3 linked regions of the Macaca fascicularis genome follow. The protein of the gene in region 1 interacts with the protein of each later gene in a pairwise test. Links are inferred from orthologs where the notes say so. Each region holds a gene or a part of one and is shown on either strand. Other genes may lie near its edges. The genes, in order: PRKG1, FAM124A and ZNF646.

Region 1 (3,650 bases):
CATGATAGAATTTCCAAAGAAGATTGCTAAAAATGCTGCTAATTTAATTAAAAAACTATGCAGGCAAGTATTTCAACCACATTATTTCTGAAAAGATCATAATGTGAAAAAAATAGATTTAATAAAACCATTATTTTATTTTTAGGGACAATCCATCAGAAAGATTAGGGAATTTGAAAAATGGAGTAAAAGACATTCAAAAGCACAAGTAAGTGTTCTTTCCTTATAATTTTAGGTTTCAGAGTTCTGAACACCTGCCATCTTTTCCCCAGGGTGTTGCTTTTTAAGTTATTGGTGTAAAACTAGTGTAATTAGCCTATAGGAACATCCAAAGACAGCATATAAACTAGTTAGGCTTTTAAATGCCTTTCTAGTTGTGATTATGAAACTTTATTTATATTTATCTGACAACCCTGTAACATAAGAAACTGAATTCACTGAACTCAGTTTCTTACAACTCATACCAACTAGCATTTTTTTCCTCTCTGGCACAAAGAAGAAATGTGTATTTTAAATTTGGGGATTCTGTTCTCTACCACAGTATTACAAACAAAAGTCCCCTACTGTATCTTACCTGATTTCCTAAAGACAAAATATATTTTTTTAAGCATTTCCTAATTAGATGCTATAACAAGAGAAAAACGTAAGCACAGAATACAGTGTTTTTTAAACAATAGCAACATCTTAAATATCAGACCTTTCCTATGTTGATTGGATGTTCTAAAGCTAAACTAATTGGTTTTTCTCTATTTGTTTGTATAACACTGACAGGAAATTCACATCCTTATCAAAGAAACATGTTTACTAAAATAACTCTGAATATCTGAAAAGCCTGCTAAGAATTTGTTGTAAGCATTTGCTGATGGCGAAACCCTTCAAAGACAGAAGAAAACAAACAAGCAAAAACTTTAGTCTTTTTTGGTCCTTATTTTCACAGAAAAACTGTACGCAAAACACCTTTATTCTTCATTAAAAAAGGGAATAAAGGAGGAAAATGGGGCATGTAGAGACTACTACAATGATGCGTAAAGATTAACTAGCTGACATTGTGCACTGAATCAGTGGCAAAAATGGAAAGTTAATTTTCTATCCTGACTTTTCATGCCCTGGTTCTACCTCCTTAAAATAAAATACCCTGTAAGACACAGGGCCAGATACATTATGACATTTATTAAATTATAATTATAGTGTAGGAACAAGGTCATAGAGCCATGACGACTGAATTACAAGGAAAAAGTGTTGCATGTTCATTGATGTTTAAAATTTGACAGTTATACTTTTAAAAATATGTATTTCATAAAATAAACTAATTGGGAAAACATATGCAATTCAATAGAAAACATTTTTGTCACATGAAAATGTTTGCCTAACTGCTTCCCATTAGCCATGGACATTGTATACATTGCAACAAGAAGGTTTTAGCTGACATAAAATGTCTTTATCGACGTTTTTTCCTTTTTTAGATGGTTTGAGGGCTTTAACTGGGAAGGCTTAAGAAAAGGTACCTTGACACCTCCTATAATACCAAGTGTAAGTAGACTTTCCAGCTTATAATTGTGTGAGACACTTGATGGTGTTTATGTCAGTCAACAATGATCTGTTATTTTTTAAGTTTAATCCTATGATTAGGTTAAACAAACTCTAGGAAAAATGTCACATTAAAATAATGACATATTCTAAAATCCAAGCTTAAAAGCAAATACATTTGGAGATAGTCGCTATAATTGTGTTTTACTCTTATCTTTTTTAACTATTCATTTTAAATCAAGTTTCCCTCATTTATGAACATAAGTTAATTTTTAGTATGGGAAATGTTCAAAAGATAGAAACGCAGACAAAAATATATAGGTGAGAGGATCACTTGAGGCCAGGAGTTCAAGAATTCAAGACCAGCCAGCCTGGACAACATAGTGAGACTCTGTCTCTCCAAAGAAAAAGAAAAGAAAATATTTACCAGGTGTGCTGATGTGCACCTGTAGTCCGTGCACCTATAGTCCTAACTACTCAAGCTGGAGCAGGAGGATCACTTGAGCCCAGGAATTTGAGGTGACTGAGCTGTGATTGCATCACTATACTTCAGTTTGGGTGACAGAGCGGAAAGACCCTGTCTCTAAAAAAAGAATAAAATAAAATAACACTTTTTCAAAGAGTCTTTACATGATCAGTTTTTTGGTTTTTGTTTTTTGGGGGGTTTTTTTTGAGATGGAGTCTTACTCTGTCACCCAGGCTGGAGTGCAGTGGCGCGATCTCAGCTCAGTGCAACCCCCGCCTCCCAGGTTCAAGCAATTCTCCTGCCTCAGCCTCCTGAGTAGTTGGGATTACAGGCACTCACCACAATGCCCAGCTAATTTTGGTATTTTTAGTAGACAGAGTTTCACCATGTTGGTCAGGCTGGTCTTGAATTCCTGACCTCAAGTGATCCTCCCACCTCGGCCTACCAAGTGTTGGGATTACAGGCGTGAGTCACCACGCTGGGCCTATATGATTACTCTTAGACTTCTGTGGCATCTTTGTTTCCATAGCTCTAGCCAAAATTTATTATATAGAAAGATTTTTTGTGATTATTTGTTTTAATCAGACAATTTATTACTCACAAGGGTATAAACTCTCTGAGGATAAGAACCATGTCTATTTGTACCCATCAGTGTGACCCTCAATACCTGCTACATAGTAGATACTCAACAAAATAGTCACTAATAGGGGATAAATACAGAATGCACTTAAAAATTCCAGCTTGGAATTCCACTAAAAAAAAAAATCCACTAAAACAAAACTGTCCATTTTATACAGGTTGCATCACCCACAGATACAAGCAATTTTGACAGTTTTCCTGAGGACAACGATGAACCACCACCTGATGACAACTCAGGATGGGACATAGACTTCTAATGTATTTCTCTTACCTGCTTCTGCCTTGCTGAAGACAGCTTTTTCTGAGACACAGCTGCCAGCAAACCTGAGGGAAAGAGAGAAGATTAGTGCTCGGGGTCACCATGATGCCTTTGATCGATGCTGCTCCAGTAACTACAGTGGCATTAGAACTTATTGCTTAGATGACAATAGTGCTCTTTACATGTTTTCTGTTTGAACCTAAAATAGCAGTTGACATGGTGGTCCTGAAGCAAAGCCTTTCATCAGTAAAGAGATGTTTTCTATTGTGGCAATGACCTTGCTTTGCTCTGATTATAATTTGAAAGACTGTAGGAAACACTTCAATCTAGTATAGGAGTCTGTACCTTGCTAGAATATTCAAGAAGATGAAAGAATAATATATTGGGTACAATAGATTACTATGGTACAGAAACTGGGCTATTCCCTTTCTTCAAGTGAAGGCTGTGGGATCTATTACTGCAGGCCGGTGTATATACCATACAAAAGAGGACCACACATCTGTTGGTCACAGAGTTCATGTCACACCAGTGCTAGAAGTTTCATGATTTTATTTCCCAGCAGTGCTGATGACAAGACTGAATGTTACCTTTTCTTTCTGACAGATTTTAAAAAATGATATGATAAAAGCACAACTGCTATAGATTCTGCTGAGACCTCTCATAGTAGGTATATATACGTTTTCACAGAGGACTGAAAAATAATGCATGATATTTGTTTTTTTTTTTTTTTTGATAAATTGGCATGATAGAGTGGGGAAA
Region 2 (4,293 bases), on another chromosome or scaffold:
CTGTTCCAGGTGCTGGGGACACACTAAGAACAAAAAACACTGTGTCCCTGCTCTCATGGAGCTGACCTTAGGGGTATGGGTAGGGAGGAAAGAGCAGGTGGCCAGTAAATAAATCTATCATCTGCCAGCTCCTAGTACAGTGCTAAGAAATAGAGTTGGGTAAGGGGATACTGTGATGTAGGATTAGTCAGTGAGGCCTCCGTTATGAGGGGCCATGTGAACCCAGAACAGAAGGACATGTGGGGGGAGTCTTGCAGAAAATCTGGGAGAAAATATCTCAAAAAGAAGGAACAGAAAGTGCAAACGCCCTGAGGTAGAAGAGGGCTCAGGTATCCCTCCCTGAGAGAGCTTTCCCTGCTCTCTCACAATTTGAATTATGTTCTCTCTTTCTTGGGCACACTATTCTTTTCCTTCATAGTGGTTTATCTCCATTTTGTTACACATATATAATAATAATATATATACACACACACATACACACAGAATTTGTTTAACTGTCTCCCCTCTGGATTGTAAGTGCAATGAAGGCAAGGATCATACCTGTTGCTATTTTCTCTCATTTGTATATGCAGAGTTCACCCTCCTGTTTGGCATTTAGTTATTGAATGAATCAGTACATTAAAAATGATCATTAATGACATTGTGCAATGCATCACTCACAATGTTTCTCACCCTACTTGAGAATTTTCTTTTAGAGATCAGTGCACAGGCAGGCGAATGTCCCCTGAAGAACTGGCACGCTCCTTTCTTTCAGCTAATGAGCACCAATATGTCCGTTGCTGCTCGGGGTGCAAGGAATTTTAGGCTCAGTAAGGACAATTCCTCCCAATGGTTTGGATAGGACTGTCAGAACTAAATTCAGGTTGTTCAGATTCTCCTTCCGACCGCCCTGCCAACTTGCCTCCCTCTTCACCCTCCTAATAGGAGGTGAGCCCCTCCAATAGTGATCATTAACTCACCCTGAGGTTATCCCCTTGCTGCAACAATCCGTGAATTGCAGGTTCATTCAATGCTCTAAATTATTTTTAAAGGCTTTTTTTTTTTAAGTAGCAAAAGAATGCATGACACCTATTGTAAACTGGCAAGTTGGGGGGTGGGATGCCACTCAGACGTGTACTGAGAAAGGTGATAATGAATTTGGCGTCAGCAATTCTTCAGAAACTATAAGAAAACACCCAGGTATTCGCATTGTTCCCAAAAGGGAAACAAATCCTTCTCAGCTTTCACGATGCGCTGAGGTTGGTTTTCTCAGTGCTCCTCCCGGATCAGGAGCTGGGGAACCTCGTGGCAAGCCCTGGGGCTCGGGATTCCCGGACTGTGGGCCTGGGAGAGAGGGGCGGCTCTTCTGTGCACACTCACCCCGCCCCCACAACACATACGCGGTCACGCACCACAGATGGGCACACGCGCTCAGCACAGCCACAGTCGCGTGCAACCAGGAGTGCACACCGCACCCATTTCACACCGCATCCACAGACGCACGGGACCTCACACGCCTCGGCCACTCACGCGCACACGCCCCCCACGCGCTCACGCACTCGCTCGCGCGCACTCCCCGCGCACCGCCGCGCGCACACGCGGGTCCCGCCGGACGGCGAGGGGCGGGGCGGGCGCGGCCGCGGGTGCCCCGCCGGGCGCGGCCGGGAGAGGGCGCGGCGCGGGGTTCGCGGCTGGCGCTCGAGTTGTTTGCCGGCTCCAGGGCGGCCAGACGCTCGCGGGGAGCCCAGCCGGCTCGGACTGGAGGGAGCGGCCGGGAAGGAGCGCGTCCCGGGTCACGACGGCGCCCGCGAGCCGAGCGCGGCCGGGACGCGCATCATGGACCCGAAGGCGAGCGGCGGCGGCGAGGAGGACGACTGCGTGGACTCGGGCGCCGAGACCGGAGGGTGAGCCGCGCCGGGCCGGACCGCGGGCGGGGGGCGCTCTCCGAGTTGCGCGGCGGCTTCTCCCTGGCTGGGGACCCTCCTGATCCCCGCAATGGGACAGGGGCGCGGGGCTTCTCCTGCCGGATCCTCCGCTGCCTCCCAGGCAGGCCGAGCGATCCGTGGCTGCCCTCGGCAGGGCGGGCCCCACCCGGGGGAAGGAAAGTGGAAGGGCTCAAGGTTCAGTGCAAGCCCACCCATCCGGTGAGGCGATGCAGAGCGCCAGGCGGATGCAAAGAGCCCTTGTCAGCATCGCTAGAGACAGGAGATGCTCTTGCACTTGTTTCCTCCTTCCTCGGGGACTTTCCTCCTGTAGCTCCGGAGCACCCTGGAGTCCGGCCCTGGAGATGGGGAGAGGAGGAAAAGCAGGGTGGGACACCCGCACCTAAAGTCTTTCCGAAGTCGGCTAGGAGGATGGCATTTCTCGTTATATGGCTTCATCGTGGGACTTTAATCTGTGCTGCCGAGTCCCCTTCCTCGACTCCTCCAGTCCCGCCGAACTTCGTCACCTCTAAGTGCACCTGTCCCAGCCGCAACCGTTGGCCTGTTGTACCGGCGGGATGGAGATGGTGTTAAGATTAGGATCTAGCCCTGCCTTTTTTTTCTTTTCTTTTTTTTTTTTTTTTTAATATTCTCTTCGCTTCAGCGGACTCAAACAATGAGCTCAAACCTTTGGAGACTAATTAGTTAGTCTCCAAACACTGTTTTCCTGAGCGGAACAAAAGACAAAATGCCTTTTAGGAGATGAATGTCATTATAAAGGCTTCCAGGCAGCCCCTATATCTAAAAGACTTTCCTGTGCAGAGTCAGCACCACATCCAGGCCACGGGTACTGACCCAGGAGGAAAGGATGTCTTTTCCTATCTGGAGTAATCCTGGGGGAGGGCGGGAGCTGCCCAGACTGCAGAAAGCCTCATTCCTGAAAGGTCGGAGAGGTTTTAGACTAATCTCAGGATTTGGCAACCCTGTGAGGGCAGGTAGAGAATCTAGGCCCACAATCGACCCAGAGTTCTAACCCAACCCCGGCAAAGCTCCCGACACAGCCCCTCCTGCCCCACCACTCCTAGCCCAAATGTGGGACTTTACTCCCTAGGGCATTCACCCAGCAATGGGCTTTCTCTGTTATCTAAACTCATTCATAGCTCTCTACAGCACCCAATTATAATCTGGTGGAGTAACCTGATGCTAAATGCTAAACTCCCTTTCTTCTTCCCACTCTTTGTATAAGTGGCATGTATCAACTTTAATTGAAGATTATTGGCTTTTTTTTTTCTGCCACTAGTTAGCTGGACTATGAATAGGAGAAACAAAGCAAAATTAACCAGCTTATTTGTAGCTGCGTTAAATAAAGCGTTCAGTAGTCTATTCATTTTCAATTTGCAGAGCTCACCTAAAACTGATGTTGTTTTCAAGGGCTCTGTCTTAGAGAAGGGAGAGGAAGTCCTGACCCAGGGGGTGATATCGCCCCAGGATCTAGACATCAGCATGACAGCTGCCAGGCCTCCTGGGAGGGGCTCGCCACTCCTGCTGACACCAGAGCTTCTGTTCTCAGCCTCTGTCACTAAAATGTGTAGTTGTAACAGGACAGAATTGTTTAAAGAATTCTTGGCCGGGCGCCATGGCTCACGCCTGTAATCCCAGCACATTGGAAGGCTGAGGTGGGCAGATCACCTGAGGTTGGGAGTTCGAGACCAGCCTGGCCAACATGGAGAACTCTCGTCTCTACTAAAAAAAAATACAGAATTAGTCGGGCGTGGTGGCACATGCCTGTAATTCCAGCTATTCGGGAGGCTGAGGCAGGAGAATCTCTTGAACCCAGGAGGCGGAGGTTGCCATGAGCCGAGATCACACCATTGCACTCCAGCTTGGGCAACAAGAACGAAACTCCATCTCAAAAGAAACAGAAATTCTTACTGTATCACTAGCATCCTTAAACTAAAGGTAAAATAGCATGCGTTTCAATGTATGCTCATTAGTTTTGTGTTTTCCGTATATTCATGGAGCCCTTGAATTTCAGTTATCAAAAAGCTGTTCATCGTTTCCCTACTTTTCTGGAGCTTGCCCCCACCCCTGACCCTATCCAGTTTTCACAGAGATTGTGTAGAAAGCACATAGAAAACAATAAGTTTGCTATCAGTATTTTTAAAATGCAAATCTGATCATGTCTCTCCTTTTCAAACTTTTATGGCTCAGTTATCTACAAATGCAAGGAATTTAACGTGGTCTACATGCCCTGACTCCTGTTATGGAGTCCCTTCTTCCCTCCCTGGCCTTGTTTCTCAGCAGGTCCTTCTGTGCGCCTTGTATCTAGCCACATCTGACAGGTTTTTCTGTTTCCTCGCCTTTGTCAGGCTGCCCTCTTTGCCAGCTCTGC
Region 3 (3,454 bases), on another chromosome or scaffold:
AGGAGAAAGGGATGCCCACCACCAATGGGCGCACAGACGAGAGCAGCCGGGACCAGCTCCCCAGTGCACAGATGCTGAATGGCTGTGCAGAGCTTAGCACCTCTGGGGAGCTGGAGGACAGTGGCCTGGAGGAATACCGGCCTTTCCGCTGTGGGGACTGTGGCCGTACTTACCGCCATGCCGGGAGCCTCATCAACCATCGAAAGAGCCACCAGACAGGTGTCTACCCCTGCTCGCTCTGTTCTAAGCAGCTGTTCAATGCGGCTGCTCTCAAAAACCATGTGCGGGCTCATCACAGGCCCAGGCAAGGAGTTGGGGAAAATGGGCAGCCATCAGTGCCACCAGCTCGCCTGCTGCTGACTGAGACCACCCACAAAGAGGAAGAGGACCCCACCACCACCCTGGACCATCGGCCCTATAAGTGCAGTGAGTGTGGTCGTGCTTACCGCCACCGGGGGAGCCTGGTGAACCATCGCCACAGCCATCGGACTGGAGAGTACCAGTGCTCACTGTGTCCCCGCAAGTACCCCAATCTCATGGCCCTGCGCAACCACGTGCGGGTACATTGCAAGGCTGCTCGCCGAAGTGCAGACATCGGGGCCGAGGGTGCCCCCAGCCACCTCAAGGTAGAACTCCCGCCTGACCCAGTAGAGGCAGAGGCAGCCCCGCACACAGATCAGGACCACGTGTGCAAACATGAAGAAGAGGCCACAGACATCACGCCAGCAGCAGACAGGACAGCAGCACATACCTGTAGCATCTGTGGGCTGCTCTTTGAAGACCCTGAGAGCCTTGAACGTCATGGCCTGACTCATGGGGCAGGGGAAAAGGAAAATAGCAGGACAGAGACCACAGTGTCACCTCCTCGGGCCTTCGCCTGCCGAGACTGTGGAAAGAGCTATCGCCACTCCGGCAGCCTTATCAACCACAGGCAGACCCACCAGACAGGAGACTTCAGTTGTGGGGCCTGTGCCAAGCACTTCCACACCATGGCTGCCATGAAGAACCACTTGCGCCGGCACAGTCGGCGGCGGAGCAGGCGGCATCGGAAGCGGGCTGGTGGTGCCAGTGGTGGGGGAGAAGCCAAACTCCTGGCAGCAGGGAGCTGGACCCGGGAGCTAGAAGACAATGAAGGCCTGGACTCTCCCCAAGACCCTTCAGTGGAAAGTCTTCATGGGGCGGAAGGCAACCTGGAAAGTGATGGGGGCTTTTTGCAGGCTGAATCTGAAGGGGACAAATGTGGGCTTGAGAAGGATGAGACCCATTTCCAGGGTGATAAAGAGAGTGGAGGCACTGGGGAAGGACTGGAAAGGAAGGATGCCAGTTTACTTGACAATTTGGACATCCCAGGAGGTGAGGAAGGTGGTGGGACTCGCTTCTGCGATGGCCTCACTGGCGTGGATGAAGACCAGAAGCCAGCCACTGGCCAACCCAACTCCTCTTCCCACTCTGCCAACACTGTCACTGGCTGGCAGGCTGGGGCCACTCACACATGCTCTGACTGTGGGCATTCTTTCCCCCATGCCACTGGCCTGCTGAGCCACAGGCCCTGCCACCCACCAGGCATCTATCAGTGCTCCCTCTGCCCGAAGGAGTTTGACTCTCTGCCTGCCCTCCGCAGCCATTTCCAGAACCATAGGCCCGGGGAGGCGACCTCAGCACAGCCTTTCCTCTGCTGCCTCTGCGGCATGATCTTCCCCGGGCGGGCTGGCTACAGGCTTCACCGGCGCCAGGCCCACAGCTCCTCTGGCATGACTGAGGGGGAAGAGGAGGAGGGGGAAGAGGAAGGAGCGGCAGAGGCAGCCCCTGCACGCAGCCCGCCACTGCAGCTCTCAGAAGCAGAGCTGCTGAATCAGCTGCAGCGGGAGGTGGAAGCACTGGACAGTGCAGGGTATGGGCACATCTGTGGCTGCTGTGGGCAGACCTACGATGACCTGGGGAGCCTGGAGCGCCACCACCAAAGTCAAAGTTCTGGGACTGCTGCAGACAAGGCTCCCAGCCCCTTGGGAGTGGCAGGTGATGCCACGGAGATGGTTGTGGGCAGTGTCTTGGAGGACATAGTGACTTCTGTCTCTGGAGAGGGTGGAGATGCCAAGTCTCAAGAGGGAGCAGGCACCCCCTTGGGAGACGGCCTCTGCATGCAGGGTGGGGAAAGTTTGCTGGAGGCTCAGCCCCGCCCCTTCCGCTGCAACCAGTGTGGCAAGACCTATCGCCATGGGGGCAGCCTGGTGAACCACCGCAAGATCCACCAGACTGGAGACTTTCTCTGCACTGTCTGCTCCCGCTGCTACCCCAACCTGGCTGCCTACCGTAATCATCTGCGGAACCACCCTCGCTGCAAAGGCTCTGAGCCCCAGGTTGGGCCCATCCCAGAGGCAGGAGGTAGCAGTGAGCTGCAGGTTGGGCCCACCCCAGAAGGAGGCAGCAGCAAGCCCCAGCACATGGCAGAGGAGGGACTGGGGCAGGCAGAAGTCGAGAAGCTCCAGGAAAAACTTAAAGTGGAGCCCCTGGAGGAAGTGGCAGGGGTGAAAGAAGAGGTGTGGGAGGAGACCACTGTGAAAGGGGAGGAGATAGAGCCCAGGCTGGAGACTGCCGAGAAGGGCTGCCAGACTGAAGCCAGCTCTGAGCGGCCCTTCAGCTGTGAGGTGTGTGGCCGATCATACAAGCATGCCGGCAGCCTCATCAACCACCGGCAGAGCCACCAGACCGGCCACTTCGGCTGTCAGGCCTGCTCCAAGGGCTTCTCAAACCTCATGTCCCTCAAGAACCACCGGCGCATCCATGCAGATCCCCGACGTTTCCGCTGCAGTGAGTGTGGGAAGGCCTTCCGCCTGCGGAAACAGCTGGCCAGCCACCAGCGTGTCCACATGGAGCGACGTGGGGGTGGGGGCACCCGAAAGCCGACTCGGGAAGATCGGCCCTTCCGCTGTGGGCAGTGCGGGCGGACCTATCGCCATGCTGGCAGCCTCCTGAACCACCGGCGCAGCCACGAGACGGGCCAGTACAGCTGCCCCACCTGCCCCAAGACCTACTCCAACCGCATGGCCCTGAAGGACCACCAGAGGCTGCACTCGGAGAATCGGCGGCGGCGGGCTGGACGGTCCAGGCGCTCAGCTGTGCGTTGCGCCCTCTGTGGCCGCGGCTTCCCTGGCCGGGGATCTCTGGAACGGCACCTGCGGGAGCATGAGGAGGAGACAGAAAGGGAGCCAGCCAATGGCCAGGGAGGCCTGGATGGCACAGCCAGTGAGGCGAACCTGGCTGGTAGCCAGGGACTAGAGGCCCAATTGGGTGGTGCTGAGCCAGTACCCCAGCTGGAGGATGGAGTCCAGAGACCAGGGGAGCGCAGTCAGAGCCCCATCAGGGCAGCAAGCTCAGAAGCCCCAGAGCCACTGTCCTGGGATGCAGGGAAGGCAGGTGGGTGGTCAGTAGGTGGGGGACTGGGAAATCACAGTGG

Evidence for each region.
Region 2: the proteins of PRKG1 (region 1) and FAM124A interact in binary tests that used the Homo sapiens proteins (3 or more experiments, as listed by UniProt). The two-hybrid records come from large-scale screens. The link is inferred for Macaca fascicularis from reciprocal best matches to the Homo sapiens genes PRKG1 and FAM124A.
Region 3: the proteins of PRKG1 (region 1) and ZNF646 interact in binary tests that used the Homo sapiens proteins (3 or more experiments, as listed by UniProt). The two-hybrid records come from large-scale screens. The link is inferred for Macaca fascicularis from reciprocal best matches to the Homo sapiens genes PRKG1 and ZNF646.

Annotation. Positions count from the first base shown.
Region 1 is NC_088383.1:94,262,897-94,266,546, reverse strand, and holds part of PRKG1 (cGMP-dependent protein kinase 1), read left to right. Parts: coding exon 1-63; intron 64-145; coding exon 146-208; intron 209-1,463; coding exon 1,464-1,530; intron 1,531-2,790; coding exon 2,791-2,889; 3' UTR 2,890-3,650. UniProt on the Homo sapiens protein: Serine/threonine protein kinase that acts as a key mediator of the nitric oxide (NO)/cGMP signaling pathway. GMP binding activates PRKG1, which phosphorylates serines and threonines on many cellular proteins.
Region 2 is NC_088391.1:30,377,362-30,381,654, forward strand, and holds the start of FAM124A (protein FAM124A), read left to right. Parts: upstream 1-1,392; 5' UTR 1,393-1,396; coding exon 1,397-1,883; intron 1,884-4,293.
Region 3 is NC_088394.1:29,258,668-29,262,121, forward strand, and holds part of ZNF646 (zinc finger protein 646), read left to right. Parts: coding exon 1-3,454. UniProt on the Homo sapiens protein: May be involved in transcriptional regulation.